Linked DNA regions of Struthio camelus. Each later gene encodes a partner of the first gene's protein in a complex. Links are inferred from orthologs where the notes say so. Each region holds a gene or a part of one and is shown on either strand. Other genes may lie near its edges.

What was found.
Region 2: the proteins of ROBO3 (region 1) and NELL1 are in contact, whole or in part, in a crystal structure (PDB 6POL), measured with the Homo sapiens proteins. The link is inferred for Struthio camelus from reciprocal best matches to the Homo sapiens genes ROBO3 and NELL1. Residues at the interface, in NP_071765.2 of Homo sapiens: Ser553, Pro555, Val590, Glu592, Phe594, Pro596, Asn600, Thr601, Trp602, Thr604, Ile624, Leu626, Arg630, Gly633, Ala634, Trp635, Gly636, Leu637, Ser638, Glu639, Pro646, Val647, Arg648; in NP_006148.2 of Homo sapiens: Ala440, Lys441, Met442, His443, Tyr444, His446, Tyr458, Arg468, Val469, Asp470, Asp471, Phe472, Ser473, Asp478, Ile492, Cys493, Thr494, Asn495, Thr503, Cys504, Lys505, Pro506.

Annotation. Positions count from the first base shown.
Region 1 is NC_090963.1:8,804,000-8,818,202, forward strand, and holds the start of ROBO3 (roundabout homolog 3), read left to right. Parts: upstream 1-7,348; 5' UTR 7,349-7,408; coding exon 7,409-7,559; intron 7,560-11,301; coding exon 11,302-11,628; intron 11,629-12,340; coding exon 12,341-12,498; intron 12,499-12,580; coding exon 12,581-12,701; intron 12,702-12,790; coding exon 12,791-12,929; intron 12,930-13,949; coding exon 13,950-14,077; intron 14,078-14,188; coding exon 14,189-14,203. UniProt on the Homo sapiens protein: Receptor involved in axon guidance during development. Acts as a multifunctional regulator of pathfinding that simultaneously mediates NELL2 repulsion, inhibits SLIT repulsion, and facilitates Netrin-1/NTN1 attraction.
Region 2 is NC_090946.1:31,295,519-31,310,532, forward strand, and holds the start of NELL1 (protein kinase C-binding protein NELL1), read right to left. Parts: upstream 7,761-15,014; 5' UTR 7,653-7,760; coding exon 7,610-7,652; intron 3,518-7,609; coding exon 3,389-3,517; intron 1-3,388. UniProt on the Homo sapiens protein: Plays a role in the control of cell growth and differentiation. Promotes osteoblast cell differentiation and terminal mineralization.

The DNA.
Region 1 (14,203 bases):
CGCAGCAACCCCAAATCCTTAATGATAACCCCAAATTTGTAACAACCCCAAGTCCACGGCACCCTCAGATCCCTAAGGACACCCCAACCCCTCAGAACAACCCCCTAACAACACCCCCAGATCTGTAACAGCTCCACTCCCTACAACCCCACATCTCTAAGAACACCCCCAAATCTGTATCGACCCCACATCCCTACGATAACCCCAAATCCTTAATAACGCCCCCAAACCTGTACCCACCCCGACCCCTCCGACAACCCCAAGCCCCCACTAACCCCCCCAAATCCACGCACACACCCCCAAACCCTCCAACAACCTGCGGTCACCCAGATCCCCAACAACGCCCCCCCCCCCCCAAAAAAAACCCCTCGCCTCAGCCCCAAAACGCAGCGGGGCGAGCAGGAAACCCGGCCTCCTCGCTCCCTTGAGACCTGCCGCGCTCGGTGCACGGATGAGAAGCAGGACTGGGTGGGGGGGGACAGACAACCCCCCCCCCATTCCTGGCCGGGGGGGGCCGCCCGCACGCGCGTGTGCGCCGAGGCCGCTCTCCCGCCGAGCTCGCAATTAAAGCGGCCGGGAGCAGAGGGCTCGTTTCATCCCGCCTTTGATTAATGAGGTTTTGGGGGAGGGGGGACGTTAATGAAGGGAGAGTTTGGGCCGGGGCGAGGGACTCCTCCGCGCGTCCCCCTGCTCCCGGCATCCCGCCAGGGACGGGGACATCAGCTGCTTCCCGCGCTCTCCCTCCGCCAGGTTCCCGCGCTCCCCCCTGCACCGTTATCCCCCCAAAATCCACTCCCACGCCAACCGATACCCTCAAAACGCCCCCCAAAACTCTGCCACCCGGCACCCGCATCATGCCGTTTTTCGGCTCCGGCTCGGCTAAACAAACGGGAGCGAGCCGGCTCCTCCGGCGGGATTAGCGCGGGCGGCCGCCGCGCTCCCGTGCCCGCCGCAACCGCAGCTGGCCGCGAGAGCGGGCCGGGAGCAATCAGCAGCGTAATTATACGATTCTAATTACAGGGATTACCCAGATTGCGGCGTTACAAATTTCATGAGCCGCTGCTGTCGGAATATATTAAAGGCCTCTTCCTGGGCAGGGGGGGAGCCCGAAAACGGCTCCGGGTAGGCAAAAAAAAAAAAAAGGGGGGGTCTGCACGCCCCGGGGGGCAGCGAGGGAGCTGGGCGCCCTCTGCGGCGCTGGGCGCCCCTGGCGGCTATTTGCCTGCTGGAGAGACCCCTGTTAGGGAGCTAATCAGAAGCCAATTAGAGGGGCTCCTGCTAATCCCAGGCATGCGGCGCGGCCGAGGCATGCAGATGAGGTTAACGGTTAATTAGGTATTGAAAAATTCATTATTTACCCAGAGCGGCTGATTGGGATGCAGCCCCGCGTCTCCATTAGGGGCTATTTGGCCGCTCGCGAGTGAAACGCGGTGATTTGATGCCGGTGGGGCCAAACGCTCCTAGGCGGCCGCACAGGCGCTTGCGTCCCTGTGTGCCATCCCGACCCTTCTACGCCCCGAAACGGGAAGACAGAGCGGAGGAAAAATACGTTTGCCTTGGCGGAAAATGGCTTTTCCGACTAAAACACCCCGCACCCCGAAGCCCTGGCACGGCGGCGGCAAAGTCGACCCGATTCGTGCTCGTCGACGGCCACCGTCTCACCCCCCTGCGTGGGAGGCAGGCGACCTCCGCTTAAATCCTCTGATTATCATTTCCTAATCTTTTTTCCTGGGATTTCATTTTAAAACTCTGCTAAAAAGGGGGGGGGAGGGGGAACCGACCAAAAAACCCCCAAACCCCTGATTACTTTTGCAGAGCCCTTCAAGATGCCACGGGGCAGAGGAGGAATCGCTGATGAGATGCACGCTGCCTGCGGCTGAATTAATATTCGCCTCGCATCGGATCAAACCGTACCGGCGCCTCGTGCCTGCGAGAATCGCTCTTTTCTTTCCCCGGTACAAATCGGAGGAGATTAATTTAATTAAGGGGCCGAGACGGGTAGGAGCGATAGGGGCGGAAATGCCGGTGCAGAAGGAGCGGTGGAGGCGCGCTTCGGCTCGTCTAGTGACCTGCTGGAGCGACTGGCGGCGCTTTATTTTTTCACGAAGGCTAAAGCTGCCGGTTCGTCTATTAAAAACGACTTTGCAGCTGGGAAATATTTGACCTCCCAGTGCGGCGTTTCAAAGGGAATGGCAAGCAAAGGGAGGAAAAACTTGGTTTCCTGGGCCGTCAGCTGTGAATCCCAGGCGACGGAGATGCAAGGAAGGTGCCTTGGCTGCTGAGCCGCCTCAGGCTGGGTTAGTCTTCCCGAGCCTGCAGGCGTTCACCGGTGCACCGAAAGGCAGCCGTTCTCAGCTGGCGGGGGGGGGCTCAAGACAGCAGGTGGGGAAATAAATGTAACACTATCTCAGCCCCCGGCGTGGTGAGATGCTCTGCAGGGCCTCAGGAGAAGGCCAGCGGGGCTGAGGATGCTCCCGGCAGGCGCCCAGGCCGATGGCGGTGGCCCGCTGCCTCGCTTCAGATTAAATAAAGCTAACGAACAATTAGCAAAACGAAACAAAAAGAAAAAGAAAAGCCAAGCGCGCAAGTAATCAGCTATCCCCCGACTAGCATTGACCCCGATTTCACCACCCGTTGCAAGGGTGCGTGCTGCCGAAAAGCACTAAGGGACTTTAGCGCGGGCGATGGCAATTAAACCGCCCGCGCCTGCCAAGCGCGGGAACCAAGCGGCTTTCTCTCCTGCGGGCCCCGGCGGGCTGATGAAAGCAGCTGAAAGCCGCTTGATGCCTGCGGTGGCCATGCAATATTTAGGAAGGCTGGCCGGGGCAGCTCCACGTGGAGGGGGGCGAGCTCGGGTGGCCGCGCACGCGTGCACGCACGAACTCCTCCAGCTGGCCCGGCCGCGGACGGGTTCGCTGGGCGCGCGGCCGCCGGCACGCCTCCGCCTTTGTCTGCCTTTCAGAGGCAATCTCGCGGCCCCAGATGGGTTAATACATAATGCAGACAAGCAAGTAATTGGGCGCCTTTGTACGGCCGTCAGCCGCCGGTCCCCGGCCCTCTGATCCCCCATTAGCGGCCGCGCAAACAAGCCTTCCACCCAATTAAGCACAGCTTTGATAGCGCCTTTCCCAATGATGCGGCGGCCCCAAACCAGCCAGTCGCACATGAGCCACTACCTGTTAAACCCGGCACCGGGCTTCCTCCGGGGCCGAGCGGCTCTCGCCTCGTGCCGTGACCCAGCTGCCGAGCTCCGCCGGCCCTGGAGGGAGGCCCGGCTGATAAATGAGCTGGGCAAAGTCTCTATTAAAGAGGGGGAAATGGGATGTTAATATACCCCGAGTGGCTCATCTCGAGAACACATGGGCTTCCCGAAGGTAGTGGTAATGAGCCAGGCTGGGATGCCCCGCTGGGAGACCTCAGCCCTGCCACCTTCCAGGCTGCGCCAGACTGAGACGTCCCAAAATCGGTCCTCTAAAAACCCCAGCATCCCTCTTCTAGAAAATCTCAGCATCCCTCTTTTAGAAAATCTCAGCATCCCTCTTCTGAAACACCCCGGCATCTCTCCTCTAGAAAATCTCAGCATCCCTCTTCTGAAACACCCCAGCATCTCTCCTCTAGAAAATCTCAGCATCCCTGTTCTGAAACATCCCGGCATCTCTCCTCTAGAAAATCTCAGCATCCCTCTTCTGAAACATCCCGGCATCTCTCCTCTAGAAAATCTCAGCATCCCTCTTCTGAAACAACCCGACATCCCTCTTCTGAAACCTCCGGCATCCCACTTATAGAAAATCTCAGCATCCCTCTTCTAAAAAAAATCTCAGCATCTTCCAGCCTGCAAGGTCATCGCAAGAAACAGGTCATCGCCCAGACCCCATGTACCCATACAGCCACCTCCTGTCCTCCTCCTCCTCTTGCTGAAACTGGGGCCGTTTTCCTCCGAAACGGGGCCAGTGCGATTTGCCCTGCGCGGCTGGGCCCAGCCTGGAGTGTATAAATATTCAAAGCGCCGAATTTTGCGCCAGCTGAGCCGATGGAGTCGATGGCGAGTGGCTCGGGGGGCTCCCCGGGGATATGCTAATAGCTGAGCCGAGGGGGATTTACATCCCCGGCATCGGCACGGCGAGGCTCGGGGCTTCCCAGCCGCTCGTTTGCCCATACAAATGCCTTGTCGCTTGTCGTTACTTTGCTCCCATCCCGGCTGGGTCCCCGCCAGCCCCTTCGTTGCTCTGTGCCTCGATTTCTCCACCTGCGTCTGTGGAAGGAGCCGGCTGCCCTCCGGGGTGGGGGGGAGGAATTCCCCCTCTTCTGGGGAATTTTGAGCCGAGAGTGATGCGAGGGGAGGAACAAGATCTGGCTTGGCACAGCACACCGTCGCCATCTCCCTGTTTTTGTACCCACCAGCTGGGCAGAGTTAAGGGGATGTCGGAGTGGCATGGTCCATCCTGGCCCTGCCTGGCTCTGTGCAGGAATCCCCTGGCGCTGAGCTCCCCCATCACCCAAAAAACTCCAGTCAAGTGGGAACGAGGGTGGCGAGCCCCTCTTCAGCATAACCAGATTAAAAAACTCGGGGGGATTAAGGGGGATTAGCCCGGCCTGTGCCGACACGCTGGTGATTTTGGGCTGTGCCGAGCAGCGGCCGGGAGCCGCTCGCCTCCTCGGCGGAAACCCTGAGCAAACAACAGCTAATCGCCAAATAAAAGGACAATTAGCCGCGACGCCAGCGATAATAAATCTCCTAACGAAGAGGCGAGGCGATCACCCAGCCCTCGGCCCAGCTCTCTGTTTGCGGAGCCGATTAACGGGACAAATTGGGGTGAGGGGGAATATTAACGGCTCCTTTGTCTCCTTTTCCCAGCTCCGCTCGCCCAGCCAGAGCCTGGAGGATGCTTTGGGGCTGGGACCCGGGAGCCCATCACCCAGCCTCAGGCCTCGGGCAAGCGGGACAGTGCGGGATGGACACGGAGGATGTCACTGGCTGCAGTAGATGGGCCTGGGGCGGTGTGAAAACACCTCCCCTCTCTTCCAAGCACTCCCTTTAAAGGGTGCCGGGCACCGAGCCGGAGGGGGGGGATGTGGCATGGCACCAGGTTTGCAATAAGCCCACTTCAGAGCTCCTTAAATCGCCCTGTGGTGAAAGAGGGGACTGGAGTTGATCAAGGCAGTTTTCGGCCTTGAGGTCCCCAAAAAGAGCTCCGGGGAGCCCCAGCGCTCGGCCTCGCACAAATCACAGCTTTTCGCTATGCCAAGTGGCCTGCAAAAGCCAGCGCCCCGGCAGCATTCCCCCGTAATTCAGCAGCCATCTCCCAGCCCCTCCGGAAAAGGCTCTGTCGCCTCCGCTAGGGTCGAGGCAGGATGCCTGGATCCTTCAGCCCAAGGGAGCGCTGTGTTCCGCGGCGGCGTAGGGAAACGCCGTGGCGTTTGATAGTCCAGCACGATGCCGATGTTGCTTTCAAAATTATCATCCTGAATAATTGTTTCGATATTTATTTGATAACCTGGGTTTTTGCAGGTAATTTATTTCTGCCTTCTCCTACCAGGAGTCCCCGGGAAGCTGAAACCTCAGCAGGAGAAACAGAAAAGCTTTGTGCTGCTCTTAAATTAATATTTATTTGCTATCTTCCCTTAGCCAGGAAGAAGAGGGAGCATGAATAATACATGGGGCAGGAGATGCCCAGATACGGAGCTAGGCGCTCACCGCGGCACCCAGAGCCAGGAGATTCGGCGGGAGGCAGAGGGATGTGAGTGAAGCTCCGAGGAGGTTGAGGCACGGAGAGCAGGGCTGAGAGCGCTGACCCCTCCAGATGTGCGCGACTGCGGAGCGGCCCTTGCCTCCAGATGTGTGCACCCCCAGAACGCCACGTGCAGCCAGATGTGTTGGCGTGCAGAGGCTCCCCTGACCCTGAATGTGCATGCAGAGCATGACCTGCATCCAGATGTGCGCGTGCCAGGTGTCCGTGTCTCCAGATGTGCCACAATAGCCAAGCCTGTGCATGCAGAGCATCACCTACACCCAGATGTGCAGGCCTACGTTGCCCCCTGCACTCCCAGGTGTGTGTGTGGCGGGGGGGGGGTTTCTCTGCTCCAGATGTTCCAGCAGCTCCGCAAGGCCTTGTCTCCAGATGTGCACACAGCTGCGAGCCCCCCTTATGCACCTCTCAAAGCCGGCGGTGCCAGCAGGCGCGTGCCCGCGTGCCGCCCCAGATGTGCACCCGGCCCCGGAGCCCTGCTCACCGCCATCCAGGCGTCCGACGGCTCTTTCAGCCCATCCAGATGTGCAGGTCGTTAGCGCTGGTTTAATGAGCAGCCCGGCAGTGGAGGGCACCTGGCCACGGCTCTAATTAGTGGCGTGCCGCCTGCGAAAGGCGCATTGCTTCACACAGTAGCCCAGTGTGTTAATAAAACGGCTAATTGGCAGCGAGAAACTCAGGGGGCTTTTCCTAACGCGATGCTGGGAGGCGGTGGTCCCTGCAGGATAAAACCCTGCACCCCCACCAAAAACCCCCTAATTTTCCATCTTTCCCTCCAGTGGCTCTTTTGCCCCCACTCTCCTGTCCTGGCCTCGGTGTTAATCCACGGATGGAGGCACGCGGGGCCGCCGTCAGTGAAGCGCACTGATTGCGGCCAGCCTTTAACGAGGGAGGAGAGGGGCACCAGCGGGGGATTCGGGGGCGGCAATGCCGGGGCATTGAGTATGCCCCAAACCAGCCTCTTTTCTTCCCGTAGCAGGGAACGTGGTGGGCCTGGGGGGGGAGACACAGGAACGGCCGCTGAGCGCCGCCGCCACCAGTGCTGGCAGGACTGCTGGAGTGGAGCAGGAGCGCAATCATCTCCTGAGCGCCCCGGCACGCATTGGGGGTGCAAGGTGCAGAAATGGCTTTGGAGGGTGCCCCCTTCCCGGAGCCACCCATCCCTGTGCCCCCCCAAGGGGGATGCCCAGGCCCCCCAACCCCATTCTTGGACCACTACAGGGGTTACTCCCAGCCCCCCTGGCCCTGTCCCCCCCCTCCAGTTACTCCTAGCCCCTTCCCCTGTACCCCCTAAGGGTGTTCCCCACCTCTCTCCCCCCCTAGTTACCCCCAGTCCCCCCCCGTGCCCCCTAAGGCTGTCCCCCAGGTTCCCCCCAGCCCCTCACCCCTGTTCCCCCTAAGATTGCCCCCCGCAGGGGTGCCCCCTCCCCTCCCCTCCGCCCTCTGCCCCCGCCGCTCCCCCCCCCCCCCCCCCCCCCCCCGCTCCGCGCTGGCCGCGCCCCCGCTCGCCGCCGGCCCCGGAGGCGGCGCCGCGGGCCGAGCCGAGCTGAGCCGGGCCGAGCCGAGCCGAGCCGAGCCGAGCCGAGCCGAGCCGAGCCGAGCCGAGCCGGGCAGCGCAGCGCAGCGCGGCGGCGCCGGGCAGCGGGCGGCGCGGAGCCACCATGCTGCGCTACCTGCTCAAGACGCTGCTGCAGATGAACCTCTTCGCCGACTCGCTGGCGGCCGAGATGTCCAACTCCTCCGAGCTGCTGCTCGGCCTCAACGCCAGCCTGGCCGCCCTCGACCTGCGCAACCTCACCGCGCCGCTCGACGGTACGCGCCCGCCGCCCCCCGAGCCTGCCGGCAGCCCCCAGCCGGCTCCGGCCCGGGGTCCCCCCCGGCCGGCTCCGGCCCCATCTTCCCGAGCCGGGTCCAGCCCCAACTTCCCGAGCCGGGAGGGTTTAGCCGCACGTCGGGGCCAGCCCCAACTTCCCGAGCCGGGTCCAGTCCCATCTTCCCGAGCCAGGAGGGTTTAGCCCCACGTCTGGTCCAGCCTCAACTTCCCGAGCCGGGAGGGTTTAGCCCCACGTCGGGGCCAGCCCCAACTTCCCGAGCCGGGTGTAACCCCAACTTCCCGAGTCGGGTCCAACCCCAACTTCCCAAGCCGGATCCAACCCCAACTTCCCGAGCCGGGTCCAACCCCAACTTCCCAAGCCGGGTCCAACCCCAACTTCCCGAGCCGGGTCCAACCCCAACTTCCCAAGCCGGGTCCAACCCCAACTTCCCGAGCCGGGTCCAACCCCAACTTCCCGAGCCGGGTCCAACCCCAACTTCCCGAGCCGGGGGGGTTTAGCCTCACGTCGGATCCAGCTTCATCTTCCCGAGCCGGGTCCAGCCCCAACTTCCCGGTCCTGCCTTCCCGAGCTGGGACGGTTTTAGCCCCACGTCGGATCCAGCCTCATCTTCCCGAGCCGGGTCCAGCCCCGCGTTTCCGAGCCGGGGGTGTAGCCCCATGTCGGGTTCAGCCCTAACTTCCCCAGCCGGGGGGGTTAGCCCCGAGCCGGGCCAGTCCCATGTTTCCCACCCGTGTCCGTAGCACGGAGCCGCGGACAGCCTCGTCTTCCCGAGCTGGCCGGCAGTGCCGAGCCGGCGGGCAGCTCCGAGCCGGGTCCAGCTCCGTCTTCCCGAGCTGGATCCAGCCCCAACTTCTCCAGTCCGGGGGGTTTTAGCCCCACGCCGGGGCCAGCCCCATCTTCTCGAGGCGAGTCCAGCCCCCGGATTCCGATCTGGGGGAGTTTAGCCCCACGTCGGGGCTAAACTCGGGTTCAGCCCTAACTTCCCGAGCTGGATCCAGCCCCAACTTCCCCAGCCGGGGGGGTTAGCCCCGAGCCGGGCCAGTCCCGTGTTTCCCACCCGTGAGGTAGCACGGAGCCGGATCCAGCCCCAACTTCCCGAGCTTGCTGGCAGCCCTGAACCGCGTCCCTCCCCGTGTTTCCGAGCCGGGGGGCAGCCTGGCGCTTTCAGGGTGCGAGGGGGCCACCCCTGCTCCCCACCGGAGGAGGGAGGGTGCTGCCACGGCACGGGGAGGGCGGTGAGCCTGGCAACGGGGTGATGCCCTAACTCCCTCCCCTCCCCACACCCCACTTTCGGGGGAAAAGCCGGGGAGCCCCCTGCTAGCTGCGAAGTGAGGGGGACCGTCCAACTCGGAGGCTGCATTTTGAGCACTTCTGGAGCTCATCGTGCCTCCTTTAGTCTCTTCCCGAACTTGAATTTTACCCTAAATTCAGGTGCTCAATCACGGGGGAGGAGGGAGGATCGCAGCCCCCAAACCCTCCCCCCTTGCCCAGCCACCAGCAGCCCCCATCCACTCCGGCTGGCCAGGTGCTGGCGCAGGAGCTGGGCACCCGAGGGGGCACCCGCTTGTCCCAATTAGCCGCTGGGTTCAGCTGTGGCCCCGGCCGTGCCCAGCTGCGGTGGGGGAACGCGAGGCCAGCAGTGCCTCGGACCCGCCGCTGTCCCGCTCCGAGCGTCCCCAAGCCGCGGGGGGAATCGCCGCCCGGGTACCACGCAGCATCCCGAGGATGCTGCCTCCATGGCAACCGCATCCCTCCCGCAGCGGAGAGATGCTCCTGGCAGTCTCCATCCCCACAGACCCTAAATCGCAGTGGCCGGCCACAGCTTTGGGGTCGTTCATCCAGGCGAGGTGGCCGTGGGGAGAAGCAGGGGGGCCGAAGCCCAGTGGGGAAGAGGATGGGGATGAAGACGGGGATGGGGTGCACGGCCTGCCACATCTCCTGCTGGCATGAACTTTCCCGTGCTGTGTGCCGAGCGCTTTCTTAATGAGCTGCCGGGCGCCCTGCGGTGCCAGGGCTGGCAGGGGGTGAGGGGGGTTTCCCCGTCCCTGCGGCCACCCACTGTCCCCGCGGCCACCTGTGGCCTGACGTGGGAAAGCTTATTTGGGGTTGGGCCATCCTGCGGCGCCAAATCGGGGCTGGGGGGGTGATGGCTGTGATCCATCGACTCCGGGAGCTGGGTTTGGGGGGGGACACTAGGGGGTTGGGGACAGCAGTGCTGGGCAGGTGGCAGTGGCTCCCTGGGTGCTGGCGGGTGCTGGGGGTCCGGCACCGGGAAAGGGACCGTCCCGTGCGTCGCGGGTGCGTGCATGCCTGTGCCTGGGTACACGCGTGTCCCCAGAGGTGGGACATGTGCGTGTGTGCGCGGGCACGCGTGTGCCTGTGCGTGTGCCCGGCAGCCGGTCCCTGGCACGACAGTGACGCTCAGCGCCCGCAGGCCGAACTGCAGGACCGGCGCGGGGACACGCGCCGTGGGTGGCGCTGGGGACGGGATGGGCGGTGACACAGGTGGCACTGGGGAATGTGATGGGCCATGCGGTGGGTGGCGCTGGGGAGCTGGGGACATGAGGGAGCGTGCCGTGGGTGGCACTTGGGATATGCCACGCTATGCTGTGGTGGCACTGGGGACACAACGGACCATGCCATGGGTGTACTGGGGACAGGATGGACCATGCCGTGGTGGCTCTGGGGACATGATGGACCATGTCGTGGTGACACTGCTGACAGGATGGACCATGCCATGAGTGGCAGTGGGGACACGATGGACCATGCTATGGGTGGCACTGGGGACATGATGGACCATGTCATGGTGGCTGTGGGGACATGATAGACCATGTCTTGGTGGCCCTGGCAGCACGATGACTTATTTGCTGTCTCCTGACTGCAAAACCTTAATGTCTGCTGCGGGGCAGGAACGGTGCTCTGACAACGGGTTATTTTCAGAGAAAACGATCCAGAGCAATGCTGCTAAAAATGGGTGGGAAGAGCCACAGAAGGGAATTGGTGTAAAAAAACCCTAAACCTCCCCCCAAAAAACCCCAAAGGGCCGTTTCGACCTGCTCTCGGCTCCAGGGCTCCCAGCTGCAGGGCGCCTTGCAGCCGGCCAACGTTACCGACGGGTTGCCAAAGCGAGGCGCTGCTCGCCTGGAGGGCGATATCTGCAGGGGCAAAAAGTTAACGTCTGGCTTGGAAACCTCCCGAATCCCCGAAAACGCAGCTCCCCGGGGCTGTAAAACTTGGGACGTGGCTTTTCTTTAACCTCCAGTTTAATTGCCTGGCGTGGGAGGGTGGAGCGCCAGTTTGGGGATGGGGTGCTGAGACCGGGCCGTGTTGTGATGCTGGTGATGGGTGTGTGTTTGCAGGGTGCCGTTCAGCCAAAACCCTGGGGTGGCAGACAGGGTGTTGTCCCCCCCCAAAAAGGGCCCCGGCCCCCCCCTTCCTTCTCCTCCCCACCCCAGGGTCCCCCTCTTCCCTCTCCCCCCCACGTAAGGACCCTGGGGGGCTGCAGCGCAGCGTGGGGGGCCCTGGCCCTGACCCCAGCAGCGAGGCCGCCCGCAGTGCCCCACCGGGCTGAGGCCCGGCCACACTTCATCTTACCTCCTGGCGTCCACCCCGCCGAGGCGCCCCCCCGCCCCTTCCCAACCCCGTGCTGCAGACCACCGCCGGGTGCCACCTCCCGCACCCCCAGCACCCACCCTGCCGCCTCGCCCCCCCCACGCCAGGCTCCCAGCCGGCGCCGGAGGACGCGGCGCCCCGCATCGTGGAGCACCCGGCCGACCTCATCGTCCCCAAGGGCGAGGCGGCCACGCTCAGCTGCAAGGCGGAGGGCCGCCCCACGCCCGCCGTCGAGTGGTACAAGGACGGCGAGCGGGTGGAGACGGACCGCGAAGACCCCCGCTCGCACCGCACCCTCCTGCCCGGCGGCTCCCTCTTCTTCCTCCGCGTCGTGCACGGCCGCAGGAGCAAGCCCGACGAGGGCGTCTACGCCTGCGTGGCCAGGAACTACCTGGGCGAAGCCACCAGCAGGAACGCCTCCCTCGAAGTGGCCGGTTAGTCCCCCCTCCCCGTTGGGCAGGCCTGAGGCCACGGTGATGGGCCTGCCGCTCCGGGAGCTGCGACAGGTACCGATTCGGTTCAGCGGGGCTTTCGCCCGCCGGGACGGCAACTTCCCCTCCCGGGCTTGGCCGGTGGGGGCTGATCCTGCCCGGTGCCCTTTTGCCCCTACCACCTCCCCGGGGAGCCCGAGGGGCCCAGGCGTCCTGGCTTCCTGGGTGCTGCTCCCTCGTCCCCCCGCCGCGGCTCTCGGGGGCGCCGAGTCAGTCCTGCTCAGTCCTGGGTCTCTTAAGGACGAGGGTCGGGGTCAGATGCGGGGCTGATTCAGGATTTTAGTATCAAATTGGGAATTCGGAGTGCCTTGGAAACCTCAAATGGCCTTTTTATAGCCCAATCCTGCCCCGGAGAGGCCGTGCCAGTGGGGAGCAGACGGAAAATCTCCTTGCCAAGGGTTTACGGGACCCACGTTGGGTTAAAGTGTCCGGATTTGACATGTTTCCCCCCTGCAGCATCCCCGCCGTGGTTTTTCAGGGCTTTGCAAGGGAGCCAGCTTGCTTAACGCCCCTCGGTTACGCGTGCCATTGCTTAAGGCGGCATCGTCAGGGCTTATTGCGCCTTACGGGGCGATAATCTCCCTGCTTGCGCTCGGCTCCGAGAGGAGGGGGGTTCCCGGGGAAATCGCAGCCCCCTGCCTTCCCTGCCCGGCAGTGCTGCGGGACGATTTCCGCCAGGCGCCTGGCGACGTGGTGGTGGCGGCGGGCGAGCCGGCCGTCCTGGAGTGCGTCCCTCCCCGCGGCCACCCCGAGCCCAGCGTCTCCTGGAAGAAAAACGGCGCCCGGCTCAGCGACAGGGACGAGCGCATCACGGTGAGGCACCGGGGTGGGGGGGGGGTTCGTGCCCCCCGCCGCCACCCCTCCCCATTACCCTCCCTCTCCTCCCTCCTGGCAGATCCGAGGCGGGAAGCTGATGATGGCCAGCACGCGCAAAAGCGACGCCGGCGCCTACGTCTGCGTGGCCACCAACATGGTGGGGGAGCGGGACAGCGAGCCGGCCGAGCTGGTGGTCCTCGGTGCGTGGGGAAGGGGCTGGCAGCGGGGCGGGGGGGGAACGCCGGCGCAGGCGGGTCCCTTGGCGGGGCTCACGGAGGCCTCCCCGCAGAGCGCCCCGTCTTCAGCAAGCGGCCGCTCAGCCGGGCCGTGCTGGCCGAGGCGACGGTGGAGTTCGCCTGCGAGGTGCTGGGCGACCCGCCGCCTGCCGCCCGCTGGCGCAAGGACGATGGTGAGCTGCCGCCGGGAAGGTAAGGAGAGGGGGCTGGGTCGGGGGGGACGCCGGCATGGAGGTTGCTGCATGGCGGTGTCCACGCTGCAGCTGGCATCCTTGTCACATGCCGGCATCTGTGCTGCATCCGGCATCTGTGCTGCATCCAGCATCCGTGCTGCATCCGGCATCCATGCTGCAGCTGACATCCGTGCTGCATCCATCATCCGTGCTGCAGCTGGCATCTGTGCTGCATCCAGCATCCACATTGCATCCAGCATCCTTGCCGAATGGCAGTGTCTGTGCTGCATGCAGCATCTGTGCTGTATCCAATGTCTGTGCTGCAGCCAGCATCCGTGCTGCCAGCCAGCACCCTTGCTGCGTCCAGCATCCTTGCCAAATGGCAGTGTCCGTGCCACATCTGGCACCCTTGCTGCACACAGCATCCTTGCTGCATGCTGGCATCCTTACTGCACGCAGTATCCATGCTGCATCCAGCATCCTTGTGGTGTGCTGGCACCCCTGCTGCATGCCAGCATCCACGCTGCAGCTGGCACCCTTACCTGGTGCCGGTGTCCTTGCCGTGTGCCAACATCCATGCTGCATCCCACATCTGTGCCGTGTGCTGGCATCCTCACTGCATCCAGCATCCTTGTCACGTGCCGGCATCCTTGCTGCATCCAGCATCTGTGCCGCATTCGGCATCTTTGCTGTGTGCCAGCATCCGTGCTGTTGCACCGGGCATCCTTACCACATGCCAGCATCCGGGCTGCATCCAGCATCCTTGCTGCCTCCAGCGTTTATGCTGCATCCAGCACCCATGCTACACCCAGCATCCTTGCCATGTGCAAGCATCCATGCCACATCTGGCATCCTCGCCGTTTGCTGGCACCCGTGCCGCAGCCAGCATCCTTGCTGCCTTCCGGCATCCTCACCTGGTGCCAGCACCCCCGCGGCGTCCCGGCGTCTGTGCCACCCTTGACATCCCAACGTCGTGCTGGCATCTCCGGGGCGCGCTGGGCGCCGGCGTTGTGGGCTCGCGGGGCCTCTCTTGCTGCAGGTGGGAGGTGCGGGACGACAACGTGCTGCGCATCAGCCGGGTGACGGCAGCGGACGAGGGCACCTACACCTGCGTGGCCGAGAACAGCGTGGGCAGGGCGGAGGCCTCGGCCACCCTCAGCGTGCACGGTGAGGAGCCGCCGTGGCACCTTCGCCGCCAACCTGCCCCCCCTGCTCCGAGCTGCTTATGCCTTTTCCTTTGCTTTTTTGCTTTTGCCCCTTTTTTCCCCTTCACTCCAGTCCCCCCGCAGCTGG
Region 2 (15,014 bases), on another chromosome or scaffold:
ATAACAGAACTGATCAATTAAAAATCCAACTGAAATACTCCAATAATCAAAGTGCATGACCAACAGCACCACTCACTTTACTACACTTAAATTTAGGTCTCTTGCTTTTCTGAATTAGGAACAATTAACTTGCCCAAAAGCAACTCACATCTCTCAACTGCCACTTCAGTTCTATCACCTTACAGCACAGCTTAATTTGTTTCTTCGCCTACAAACCTCTTTTACACAGAAGTCCCAGTATCAACTCTTACTATCAACAACATTACCATAACACAGAAACGCCACTGGCTTCATGCAGGTTGTCTTGGAGTTAAATTGCTAACCCTCCAGAGAAGAGAGTCCTTCCGGATTTGCTTTGGGGTAAATCAAGTGAAAAGGTCACACTCCAAAAAGTTTGTAACAGTTTGTCACTATCAGTAAGACATCTAACATCACTCATCAAAAATCTAATTTAAAATAATAATTTATCTTTCTCCTGTGCATTCCTTCCCATCACCCCCTTCCTCATTTCTTCTTTTTGCCTAAAAATGCAATTGAAATAGAGCCCAAAATTCACGAAGCTTTCAAAGAAAATGAGGCTCTTGTTCAGGAAAAAAATCCACGTTTTCACTACAGCAGTATACATAACCGTCTGGGTTCGGACAAAATTACCATTTCTCTACTTCAAAGACTTGCAGGGATACACAAAAAACCACTCCTGGTTTGAGTAGCCCTACTAAAGCCCTTTTAGGGAACGCATCTTACAAGACACAAAGCGATCCTCTGGGAGCTTGTGCCAGCTCAGAGTCATATTTCATAGCCATAAAGACACCCTCGAAGAGGGGAACAACAAAGTCCCCATGAAAAGCGCACACCAGTAACCGTATTCAGGACCTCTTATTTCCACCTCCCAGACCAGGAGACCCTGAGGGGCAAAAGCCAGGGGCAAGGAGGTCAGCAGGGTGTCTCCACACCCAGCTCATCCTGTCACAAGAGCCACCGCGAGCAGGAAGAAGCAGGTCCTCCTCAGGCACGGAGACCAGAACTGCCTGCAGTGCTGCCAGGCACCAAGGCATGAACCACAACAAGGCACTAAAGCACAACAACTAATCAAAGCTTGCCTGAAAGAAAGGACCACCTCTGGGAGACCAGAGCAGCAGGTCCAAGAGGACACAGCAATTCTGAAACTAAGCACTAACTCTCAGTGTTCTCTCTTCTCTGGGAGGGTCATATTGGGTGAGTTTTTCATGAATTTCTATAGGGAAAAAGTATTATTACTTTTAATTTGACATAGTAGTTATCCATACAATCCCCTAAGTGCCATACAGTAAAACTAATAAAGATGAAAATCAAAATTAAGGATCACCTGGCTCCAGCCAAAGGACCTGGCACATAGCCAAACTACAGCTGTAAAGTCACTTCTGTCAGTAAAAGGGAATTCATACAGCTACCAACACATTGCCAACATGCAACACATAACAGACACAAACAAGAAGGGGAGCAGCCAACAGAGTGGCCTGGAACTTCCATCCCACCTGAAAGCAGCAGCAAAAATCCCCCCGTGGATCTCTTTCAGGACAGAGTAACATACCCAAAGTTTTTGCCCTCGTCCTAGCCCAAGGGCTGATGAGCTCAACTGAAGGCAGTAATTTTCCCAAGCCACCTTCCAAGAAGCCATGGACTAGAGGCGATGTGCAAGCCCAGGAGTTACTCCTGTGCAGTCAGGGGAATTAACAAAGCTTATCTACCTAAGGATTTGGAATCATATATTCACCTCCTATTCTGGATTTTTGCTCAATGCTTCCTGTTAACATCTATCCCCCCGTTTATCTGATGAGATGACCTCTACAAGCTGTACTTTTTCCTGCTAGTCTTCTCTAAGTTTATAAGCTACCGGTGGGGTCTTCCAAGGCAAAAAGAACTGAATATCCTTAACATCTTCACCTTCATCCTTTCAAAGCTACTTCTAGTATCAGTGGTTTCAACCAGCATCCTAAAAAAGACACTTCAGACTTGCCCTTCAGCTCCAACCACCAGTTTGTGAAACCTCACCATGACTGTTTGCCAGCATGGTTGCAATTAGGTAATTGCAATTCGAATTGCACAGAGTGGCAATTCGAAATACTAAAATATTTTAAGTTAGGCCATTGTAATCTTTAGTGGGATTATTGTACTTTAATAGTGTTCACACCTAACACACAAACCTGAAGTCAGGGGTATCAGATGCAAAACGATTTATATTTTTAAATGACTAATTTAATGCCTTTATTCCAGACCTTGATCTAGGAATCAGTAAAAATTAAATATTTGACTCAACATAGCGTAAGACATGGGAAGGATGACTAACAAATTCTGAGGTGGTCTCCAGAAGCCCCTCTGCTACCAGCACCTGAACTGATCCATCCTCTTGTCCAGGTAAAGAATAAACTAAGATTACAGACCTGCTTCTTTTATTACTTACAATAATGTCAGTAATGCAGATACTGAAATAAAACTAAATGAGATCATAATCTTCTGCCTCCAAGAGAAGCGGACAGATACCAAAAAATAAGACCCTAACCTACTCACTTTAATGTGCAGTAAAAGCACAATAAAGGGAAAAAAACATAGGAAGCCTCCACAACAAAAACGTTCCCTACTATGCTTTAATGAGCATGTTAATCTTAAGAAACATACTATACTCAGCTCTTCTACCTCATGGCTCTCTCTCAATCTGGGCCTCATTTAAGTCAATGCAAAAACATCCCAATTTGTCCAGAACTTCACTCACTGCTCACTTCAAAACAAAACGTAACAAAAAACTTCCATTTTAAAACACTTCACCAGCATTATCCTTGGATATTGAAATTTTAAAAAGCACATTACAACTTGACTTGCTCTGTGCAATGTGACTTGCTCTGCATCTGTTATTGGCTTGGACAGTGAAAGGCAATACTATCCTATTTTCTCACTTCAGCAGCTCTCTCAAAGTTGAGGAAAGACTTGCTACTTGTTACTAAGCAGTGTCAACACATTAGCTGCTTTCTCATCTACCTCCATAACCTCCAGCTGCCTGTGCATGAGTACAAGGGCAGAGAGAAAGTACCCAAGGATACAACCGAGTCCATGCCCAGGGACTACTTTGACACATTTAGTTAGAAAAAATTTTGGAGAGTGTTGAAACCTACCCAAAAACACTTCCCAAGAGATCTTGAAGCTCAATGACCTGACAGTATATTAAAACAAAATATCATATATATTTCAGCAGAGTAACACAGACTATTTCAAAAAAAAAAAAAAAAGAAAAAAAAAAAAAGAGAAAATAGCAGTTAGGTAAGAGCACCATTACAGGGAATCAGTTAGGCATCAAAGCTCCCATGAACTCATGCAGACTGAAGTGGGATAAGAGACTTGAGGAGGCTTGTTTTACCTTGGAATAAAAATGCTTTGCTGGCATTGTGCAGTCCCGACACTTGTGTCACCCCAAGGGTTGTATTCACAAGATCCAGTTCTGTGATGATATCAATCTGTAAGTCAGGATCCATTCCAAATCCTACAGCTGCGAGAGGCAGAGCCAGAGAAAGGCAGAGTTAGATCAATTTTTATTTCAAACCAGGTAATGAAAAGAATGGAGAAGAATAGCTAGTGCAGTCATTTCTAGTATGTGCACACACACACACACTCTACAGTAATTAGTTAGAAGACAGTAACTCTGCTGCAGGAGAGATTTTTTTTCCCCAGTTATTTCAATCAAACTATTTATTTTCCACAGATTTTACTGCACACAAGTTAAAACATTATAAAATTGTTACATTAATCCAGCACCTTTATACAGCAGAAGAGTTATAAATAAATAAAAGCATAACCACCTATGTGAAAAGATGAAAGAGATTAGCAACATTCATCTATTGGCTACACGATTTCCAAGGAGACGTGAGGCCTGGAAATTCTTCTCACATTTCATACCTAGCTGTGACTAATAGATCGGGTCCCACAGCTCATAACCTAAACACAATTTATTTTCCGAACTGGACAAAATGACCCTGAAGGAGATATGGTAGCAGGGCGAAGGAGGCCATCCTGTAATCCAAGGGCCCCAGGGTGATTTCACACAACAGTTTGATATTGCAGACAAAGTGCCTCTGCTGTATTTCAGCACAGCCAGGGCCTGAAGTGTGCCACCACCTACCTATGCATAACAGACATTCATTCACCTAAAGTAGCACCTCCTGGTCTAAGGTGCAGAAGCACAAATCTAAACCTGAAATTTGAAAACGGCTCACGCCCAGGAAAAGACCAGGCACTCACAAATTGCTAGTTTCCTAGGGACAGGAAAAGGCCAGTCTGACAAGGGTCTGTCGCTCTACATAGCAACAGATGTTACATGAAATCTGTGCCTGGGACGTGGATCAAAAAACTCTCACAGAATGCAAGCACTTTCCTCACAATTTTTTCCACTAACATCATTAGAAGTGGGAACAGGCACTAAGAGCGAAAAATCCTGAGACAGCTGAAGTCAATGGTAAAACTTCCACTGACTTGTGTGGGGGGCAAGGATCTCCCCTGCAAAGCACATCCAGACTGATTTCCACTGAGTGGACTCAATATTCAGGTTTAAATTGATTGATTTGTTATTTCAGAACTGTGCTTCTGGATCAGTTAGGCAGCAAATATTCTAGTCTGAGTCTCTGAAAAGCTCTGAGAAACTACTGAGGTGTACAGAACGAACAAGGCGAAGTTACAAGTTCTACTTATAAGTCACCTGTGCCCCAGCACTTTCCTTTTCTTTACTCAGGTATTAAAATTCCTTAGGATGATATGTTGTGCTAATGAAGCAGGATATTATTGCACAAGATGCAGAGCATTAAGAAATACCGAAAAGCAGCTTTAGAAGGTCTCTTTCAACCTTAATCTACAATGAAAATTAAGATCTCTCTGCATCTGGCAGAGCTGAGCCTCCAAGAGTGCTGTCATATCAAAGTGAGCACGTACACATAATAACATGGGGATAAGTACCTTTTTGTAGAAAATTAAAAGGAGACAATATGAACCTGGATAAACATCTCCAAAGGTAAAAACTTCCCAGACACTCAACAACAACAGGCATCAGTACTGTCTCCAGCTTCATCCCTGCTAAACGCTCAGACGCTGAATGAGCACGTGCAGCTGCACAACGTGCGTGCTGACAGACCAAGAGCCCCCTCACCTCCCGGTGAAACATGGGCCCCCAACACACAGCCAGCAGCTCTGCTAGCCTCAAACCCCTCACACACAGCTGAGATGCTCCTGAAGAAATGTACCCATCCTGCTACACCCGACATCAAACAGTGACTACTTTCTTCTAGTACACCTGCCTCTGACCAACAAGAGAGAACGCATCTGCTTATTTTTAACCCACAACAACTCTTCTAGGGCAAGGGCAGCATCCTACAACCCTCAGACACACACACACACACTTTATATATATACGCGTGCATATATATATATAGAGAGAGAGAGAGAGAGAGTGTGTGTGTGTATATACAGACACATGTATATACATATATATATTTATAAAATACATACAGGACAGAGCCTTTCAGGCTAAGAACATGAGAGCAAAGATATTTTTAGGAGACAAACAGAAGGACTTATTTCTTTTAAGGTTTTTGTTCAGAAGAGAAGCACACTGTAAATTGTGTGAAATTACCTGCCAGGAAAGAAAGAAAGACCCCACTGCCTCTGCCAGGATTGAAGTATGCGTCCCTTATTCTAAGCAAAAACCTACTGACACGAAGGGAGGTTGAATAGGTCCTAAAGCTTGTTCAATGGGAAGGATAAACTATATCCAGTAAGACAAATCTTGACCCCACTGAAGTCAGTGGAAGTGCTGCCAGTGACTGAACAGGGTCAGGACTGAACCCACATCTAACAAATACACGCACCCCCTTAAATCACCACAGCCTCACTGCCCTATTAAAACTGTTTATTATAGCCTGAATACCTGAGGCTCAACAAGTACAGATCACTGTAGCTCCGCCAGCTTCAGTGTGCCCCCTTCCAGCCTTTAGGATGCTTTCCAAAGAGGAGACTATTTCTAGCATCACAGCAACTCTTTAGCAAGAACCTACACTGCTTTAAATTCCTAGTCATCTTCTTGTGCTGGCTCTTCAAACTGCACGCAGGCACTCAAAAGCCTGGTTAATAATTAATAAACAACAAATCAGCAGCTTCAGTATGATAACCAAGTCTCCTTTCCCGTGTGGTCTCCCGCAGTCAGAAAGATACCAGAGGCATATCAACTGCACTCGCATCTAGCATGCTGTGCTGCCTCTCTTCACTGGAAGAAGCTGGAAATACCATTTCTTTCTGAAGCAAAAATTAACCATCATCAACCTGTATGCTCTTAGTGGAGAACTGTACAAAGCTGGGGCCCGATCCTGACCAATACAGCTTTTAACTCCTATTTAAAGCAAGCAGGTCATTCCCCTTAAATCAGTGACTTACACAAGCAAGACTCCAACAGTCTCAGCCAGGTTGGGGGGGGAGGGGAGGGGAGGGGAGGGGGGAAAAAATCATCTCAGCACTTTGTGGATTCGGCCCAATGTGAACTGAAGGCGCTGTAGTAGGTTAGAGGATTAAACCATATAATTATGAATGATGTCACCAGGAAATCCCTAAAAGAAATTAACGCTGCCTTATGGCTCTGATAGCTTGCATCCTCCGCTTGTGCTGTTATCACCGGCAGGCACCCAAGCACCAGCAGTCGTGCCATGCTCCATCTAGCAAATTGTGCAGCCATGCAACGTATGCGGTGTATCTATGATTTCCTTGACATGTTACACACTGCATGTTTTGGGATAGAGAAACTTTCAGTAAAAGCACGCTCGAGACAACCTAGTCATTTCCCCACGGCCATGTGCAATCCCTCCAAGGGGGAGAAGCTGGCTCTGCGACAGGCTCTTCGCTGGCTCCTCAGTGGCAATTGTTGCACACAAAGAACTTTCCGAGGGGCTTTGCAATGCCAAACGCAGGAGTTTGGGTTCGTCTCAGTGACCATTTCACGTGAGAACGTGCACTACTGGTGGTAGCACCGCTGTGATCAGGACAGACGGCATTCCCCCCCCCAGCTATCGCTGTGCCAAACCTATGTGATTTTCGATGAGGTAGTAATTACCGCACGAACAGTTATAATTTAAGAACAGTGACACCTACGTATCTGCGGTAATCGCGACGCCCCTGGGAAGGCGCACGGGCACCGCCGAGGGAGCGCTGCCCCAGGCCGGCCAGGGAGAACAAAGCCGCTGCTGCTGCTGCCGCCGCCGCCGGGGAAGCGCAGCGGCTCCTCGGCCGCGCAGCGCCAGCGGCCACCGCGCATTTCCGCCCGGCTGCCGCCCGCGCCGCGGCTCCCCGCAGCGGCAGCGCGCCCCGCCGCGCCCAGCCCCGCGCCGCCCGCCGCTTGCGGGAAACTTTGCACGGCGGCCCTGCGCCCGCGCAGAGCCCGCGCCCGCTGCGCCGCCGCCGCCCCAGCAGCCGCGCAGGGGCCGCGGTGGCTCCCGGCAGGGCAGGGCAGCGCCGCCGCCCCGGCCTCAGCCCCAGCACCGGGAAAGTTTCGGCCCCGCCAGCATCCGCTCCGCGTCCCGCCCGCCCCGTCCCGGCGGCGGACCCTCACCTGCGCCGGCCGCACACGCCCAGAGGAGCAGGAGGAGCCCCATCGGCGCGGCCGGGCTGCGCCTGCCGGCTGCCGAGCCGAGCCGAGCCGCGCCGCGCCTCCGACTCGCGGAGCGGCTCCGGCAGGCGGCGGCGGCGGCTCCGCCCGCTGCCCAGGCGCGGCCCCGACGCCCCCGCGGCGGGGGCTCCCCGCCCGCCCCCCGCCGCCGCCACCGCCGCCGGGCCGCCCCCGCCGCGACGCGCGGCCCCCCCGGGCCTCGCCAGCGCCGCCGCCCGGCCGCTGCCCGCCCGCAGCGGAGCCGCCGCGCTGCCGCAGCGCCGGGCGCACCCGGCCGCGGGGACCCGCGCGGGGGCGGGGGGGGCGCGTGGGGAGCGCAGCGGGGGAGCGCGTCCCGCGCCGCCACGGGCCGCGGAGCCGCGTTTGAACAGCGCCCGCTTTGGCCTCGCTCTTGGCATAAAACCAGCGAGGCTCTGCCTTTGGTAACTATTTTAGCCTCAGTAATAATTCAGGCCTGGTACAAGCGAAAATCGGGTTTGGTCACGTAACAGGGAAACCTGTACCCTTCCACCGGCTGCTTCTGCGTCCTTGCTCAAGTCACTTAGCTGCTCCTTCCTTCACATCTCCCAAGCATCAAATAGGGGTGAAGTCTGTACTTGTAAACCACTTGAGAATCTTTCACAGGTGCTTTAAATTCTCTCTTCAAATATTTGCTACCGCCAGCCTTTAATTTGGACTAATCCATGACGAGAAACCACCCCACACACTGATTATATGCAATTCCCACCAGTAGAAAACCTGACTTAAATTTGAAATAGGACAGCTGGGGCCCACATGAAACGCTGCTTTCAGTAAAGAGGGGCAGGTGAGATGCAGCTGACCTGGCTTTGCTTGGCTCAGACCAAGCCATTTCCCCGGCAAAGCTAGAGGATTCTCCTCCTGCCTCTTCCCCTCGTCATCCCATGGTCTGGTTCTGTGCAAAATTCAGGTCATCTTAAATTCAAAATAATAAACTTTACGTTTGGACAAAGTTAGGATGAAACCAGGAAAACACGCTAATCTAAGGAGAGTTTGCGTTCGCACACCTTTACTTTAGCAACAATAGCATGAGCAAAGCGTATAAGTTGGTTGCCTAATTACTTATTTAGTAAGATCTCTGAAAACAGCTGGTCCTGGCTGCACACAAGGGATACATGCTGGGAAAACTCAGGAGGGGGGAAGTTACTCCAAAACATCTCAGGAACTCATAAATACATTCTTACTTTTATTTAGGGTGCTGGGCTATTGGCACCGTTCTTACCCATAGGGCATGGGGGGGTATATATACATGGTATACAAGTCTACATATTTTTATACATATACATGTATAGGTATATATGCTATGTACACATAGTAACAACAAAAGGAGGTAATGGTACCTCAGCAAGTGAGGACATACCTTTTAATCCCATCCTAATAAAATCATTAGTCTGACTGGTATTTACTCTCTAATTTAGGGAGAGATTTCTTTCTGTGAAATGTGGCTATACATCCTATTCATGTTAGTTTAGCTATATTTGTGCTTACCTAGTAATAAAACCAGAGTCTATGTAAACTCAAAATTAAATCTAATTCAATCAAAGTTTCAGATTTTAAGTTAAACTGGTGTGGAGTCTTTAATGGAGTCACAATGTAAACCTATCACCCACAGATTCTTACCTAGATCCATAATTAGCTTAACCTAAATCTGTATAAAAAGATATTTTAAAAAATTACTGTGGGCACATGCAAAAACTTGCACTGGATTATCAGCTCTCCAACGCAGCTTCGAACACACTCTGACCAGTGTCGTGGCTAGCCAACGCGCTCATCGTGCCTGACTTGTTCTCGTGTTGAGCAGAAACCTTCGAGGAGCCCAGGGACACTGCAGGCAGTATTAGAGGCAGCTGGGCAGGAAGATCTCTGAACGGAGCTGGTCCCAAAGAGGGGGCTCCTATAGTCCAGCTCTGTGCAGAGGGGATATTCTGGGGACAGAACCAATAATTATAGAAGTATTTTCATCTTTTCATACTGGAAAAAAGATAGACGGGATGGACAAAAAAAAAAAGACATTCTCCCAGCCAACACCATTCCCACACTTCCACTAATAATGTATGGCAACCACTTATCTTCCTTTGTCAGTGCAAAGAAAATCCGATATTCTGATACGATCGTGTTGGAAATATAAATAGCTGGAAGGCATGACATTCAGATAAGAATGAGAACTGTGCTCCTGAATGTTCATAGCAATTAAAAAAATATCTGGTGGCACTTTCTCAAGACTAAAGTGTTAGTCCCGGCAAACTAGCTGGATTTCAGCTCAGATAATATGCTTGTGAAAGATTTCTTGCACTCTCAGTCGGGTGTTGCGTGCTTCCTGATTTTTGACCTAAATCATTGTGATGTTGCCAACTGTGTGGTGTTAAACTGTTAGTCCTTTCAGCCACGAAGCTTGTGGCATTTTGAAGTCTGATGAAATATTTTTGATTAGGCCCCAGTATCACTCAGAGTTGTTGTAAGGCTGTTCACATTCCTTGGATGAAAGGCAATCAAAAGCGCTAAGTGTTAACTTTTAAGTGTAGCTGAAGGTAGGAATGGACTCAGCTACCAGCTGAACCACAAATGCTGGAGAGACGACAGCACTTCCACCTGGAAAACACCTTGTAACTCTTAGAACGGAAAATTTTTTCTTTCACAAGTAGTAAGGCTCGCATCCTGTGAAAGCCACTCTCAAAGGGATACTTACAGGCAAGAAATACTTACGGGCAAATTTTACTTTGCAGCCAGTAGAGGGCAATAATTAACAGAAGCGTTTACACCTAAGTACTAATAGCGCAGCCCTGAAGGCAAGAAAAAAACCTGTCTCCTACCAACTGATGAATAGTTGTAAGGGACTGTCGGCTCAGTCCAACAGGCTGAAAGCATCCGTGCTAAGGAAGTAGCCAGCAAACGGCTCTGAATGAGGCCTTAACACAGGGAGAGCATTTCTCAACTCGAATATTCAGTGATGGAGCAGTATCTATTGCTTTTCCTAATTCCTAACTGCATAGTTAGCTGCTGTTTGAAGACTGTGAAGCCTAAATCAAACTTTACAACTGATTAATCCACAAGGTTGGTACAAAATGTGCCCTGGGGTCTTCACTTTGACCATGGCAATTTTAACACCCAAAAGAGTAAAATTATTTCAAACTAAATGCATCTGTTAGCATTGCAATAAAATATGTGCCTATCTTTTAGTCATTTATGTAGCGTACACTGGTTGAAAGCACGGCCTGGATGATACCATACAAGCAAGTTTAAATGGGATGGATTTTTACCTGTTCTCATGGGTTTAAAGATTTAAAGCAATAGTGCCTAATGGTGACAGCAGCCGCCTCTCTCTTACTCCCCAAATCAATGTGTTGTATCACTGACTCACATTGGCTGACTTTGGAGAAGGGACAAATTTAACATGCCTCAGCTTTGCCTCCTGCAAAGGGGCCGGAGATACTCACCTGCCTCTCGGGACAGGGAGAGCGCTTGCTGAGAACTGCAGGCTTCTCCAGGATGAAACGTGTCTTACGTGCGCAAGAAGTATCGCAGTCCCCCATCATTAGGTCCTGCTGTCTCCTGCACGTGCGCATGCGTAGCTCCTCTCAGAGCAACGCGCTTTACAGCCGGACCAACGTACCGCTTCCTTTGGGAACTGCTGGCAAATCCTGCCGAATCACTCTTCGGCCACCTCCGAGATGAGGCCCTTGCCTGGAACTGCTCTCACGCTCTTGCCAGAGTGCTAATATCTGTTTTGTTCGCCTATCTGCTTGACACCACTTTGTGATCAGATATGGCACTTCAGCTATTGTGTTTGAGGAAAGCACTGCCTTTCCAGCTGCGAAGCAGGCTGGATCAGTGTCGCTTTGCTACTCAGGTGCTGGTAAGCGGGGAGCCTGCTCACCACGTGCTTAGGACGGCACACGTGCTGCTCGGCCTTGCGCTCACCACACTGCAAAAACTCAGCTTTCACTGAAAGCTGCAGTAGTGCTTCCATTTGCATTCTTAGCTTGCACCTTCCCTTCCACCTTTCATTTTCATCTCCCTCTGATATGAACCTCTCTTGCCTTTAACAGTTCAACCACCTTTGGAGTGACTGAATTGATGGGATTAAAAGGATTCAAGCAAATTCAGCTGGTCCTCTGATGAGTAATCTATTATTCAGCAAGCTACAGAGCATCCTGATAGTTAAGAATCCAACCATTTAATTGATATTTGTTGCTGCAGCTGTGCAATATCTCCATTTCCCAAGAGGGCTGTTTCCAGTTGCTGCTCAAGGTTTCTAACAATCAAATGGATCAATTCTGCAGATACCTTAAGGCTGTGTGTTAAGTAAGAATGATGTTTGTGGTGTATATTGGGTGGGGAAGGAGAGAGTCGAAAAAGAGAAGTTCTGTTCACCACACACTGTCAACATATTTTATGTTTTAAGCACTGGACATTTATTTAGAGTCTTTAGAGCCCATACATTATTGAATAATTTTAATTTATCACATTCAAATATAATAGGCAAATATATAATACAATAAATTGCATTTTTACACATAAATACAAAATCTGAGGTAGGGCCTCAAGAATAATGACTTCTTAAATGAACAACATTCAGCATTATAATATGCACTACATGAGATATGTATGATGCATCCTTTGTAACATAATATATCTTCTGCACATACAGCTAATGAAAAAATTATAATGACCTTGTTAGGGTACAAATCTTTATCCATAGGCAGCAGTACCCCATAGAATGCCTGTAAATATATATATATATATATTTATATATGACATTACGCAAGTAATTAAGATTTAACCCATCAGCGATAGGTCTGTAATAAAGTGCCACAGGACACAGGGTGTAAATTCTCAGCTGGTGTAAATTGTCACAGCTCCAAACAAAGCTGCGACAATTTATACCAGCTAAGCATCTACCTTACAAGGTACCCTACATAATATAAATGACAGATAACAACATTTTTTTCCATCAATCTGTATTTTCCCAACAATGGAAGGTCCCTATAAGGCAAATGGTTACCTGAAGATGTCCTTAAAACGTTATGGGCAAATAATAATATTGCAAGCAATAAGGTCCAGCCTGGTTCTCACATTTTAAGCTAAACCCACCGGGAAAACCGTTTCTCTTTGGTGACAGCCTGCCTGAGGGTGACAAAGGCAGAAATCACAAATACCCCTAACCCTCCCCTTTCCAGTCAGCAACCTGAGCCCCTCTGGAAGATCAAGCTCTGATTATTTCACAAACACCTTACATGCACACCATTTAACTTCAAACCAAGAAGTAAGTGTCTCATAATCATGCCAGACATGACAGCATCATTAGCAAAACTGAGACAGTTCCTGGGACAGCACTTGCCGTAGCTGCGCAGCCTGCAACCCCCAAGCCATACAAGTCTGTCTGCAACTTTGATTGCAAGAAGTGGAGTTGCAGAATAAGAAACCAACAGAAAAGCAACATCTGCCACAAATAAGCAATTACTTTATCACAGACAGCAAGGAATTATATTATCCGTACAACTACACACATACTCAAAAAGATGACCAAAGATGATCTCAATAAATTGAGATTTGGATTTTGATGGTAAGAGATAGCGACAGTGTATTGGAAGCAATCTTCAGTGCTGAGGCACGTCTAATGTGGTCACTGGAGCAGAACCTAGTCAAAAGAATGCTTTGACTAAACCAAAATATCATGTAAAGACAACCCAAGTCTTTCTCAGTTAAGGATCATTTTGTTAAACCCTTCTTTTGGAAACAAAGTGCTGCCATGGTTAGCTGAAAAACAGATTTTGAACACTATATATTAAAAATGCTAGGAAGACCCCAAAGAATTTGAAGATGGCAAGCATTTGCATTAAGTATAATTTTTAATGCATACAATAGTGCATCTCAACTCATTCAAAAATCCAATTTCATTTCAAAGAAAAAATATGCAACAGAAGTAGTTCTCACCAAATTTGAACATTTTTTACTCACAAGATAGATCTGCAAGTACGTACATCACATTTTTACTAATATGGCTTTTTCCCCTCCTTTTTAAAAGACCTTTACTGGTATTTACTTAGATACTAAATTTATTTTTAGAAAACTATCAAAGTACATGCAAACTTTTCTAGAATATGATAAATGAAGTACATTCCCAAACTGCAAGATTACTTCTCATTTAAAGAGGACACTGCTGGTTAATTTAATCTCAACGTTCAGATTTGACGAGTAAAATACTTTTTAAAAGCCTGGTGTGAAAATTTTCCACTTTTAATTTACGGTGAAAAACTTCAATTCTTCTGTGATTTTTGTACTCATTTCTTCCCCACTCCAAATGTCTTTGCAAGCCCAGGTTTAGACGTTAAAGCTGAAGATAAAATCAACTAAAACAAAATCAAAACCTATCACCTGTTTTCAGAGTCTCAGAGTCAGGCCTAATCCTGTGCTAATGACTTCCACAGGCACAGGAACAACACCTAAATGAAATGCAGGCAGATTAATTACCTAAATCATGGAAAGCAATTCAATTTTTCACATGCATTCTGTTTTAGTAATCCAAGCCAAAGGAAAGATGTGCTAACCCAGCAGTATTCCTCCAAATGACACCCCTTCTGCACTTAAATAGACAGTAATTGACATGCTTACACCAAGGCAATTTTACCGCAGTTAGTTAATCCTGGTTCAAACACATCCTGAGATAACAAATTGGGAAGGGAAAGGATTCAGAACTATTAAGTGATTTGAGTGTGTGTTTGTTTGTTTGTTTGTTTTAAGAACAAAGCCTATAAACACTTTGGGGCTTGGTTTTTTGTTTTTTTTTTTGTTTTGTTTTTTTTAATCCCAGCAAAACAGGATTGGACTCCAAAAATCAAACCAAGACTTTAGATGATAACGGTAGACACCTAAAGCTATTCATCCTGACAAAAATATGCAATTCCCACTAGATGGTGCTAGCTGGTTTAGGTTCCTTTCTTCACCTTTCCAGGTGGAAAGAACTCCTGCAATTCATTTTCCTGCGCAGCACAGTCTGCTCAGCCTCACTGCCACACGGGCGTCAATGGCCACCTTGTCTTTATACAGCTTCATCGCATCAAGCAGAGTGTGGCGCCTCCAACCTGCTCTGCCAGGAAAACAACAACCCAGGAGAGGGGAGAATAGCAGCTCCCCTTGTGAAAAGGGCTGGCAAAGCCAAAAGAAGCCGGCGCAGCTTTAAGGCAGCGATGCTTGCAGAGGTCCGAGCGGTGCTGCTGCGCCAGGCGGGCGCTGGCGGGGCCCCTGGGGCACAAGCCTTGCAAAATCTGTCCTCGCCTGAGGATTAAACGTCTCCAGCAGTGCCTCTGACTGGCAACACTAAGTTCCCCCG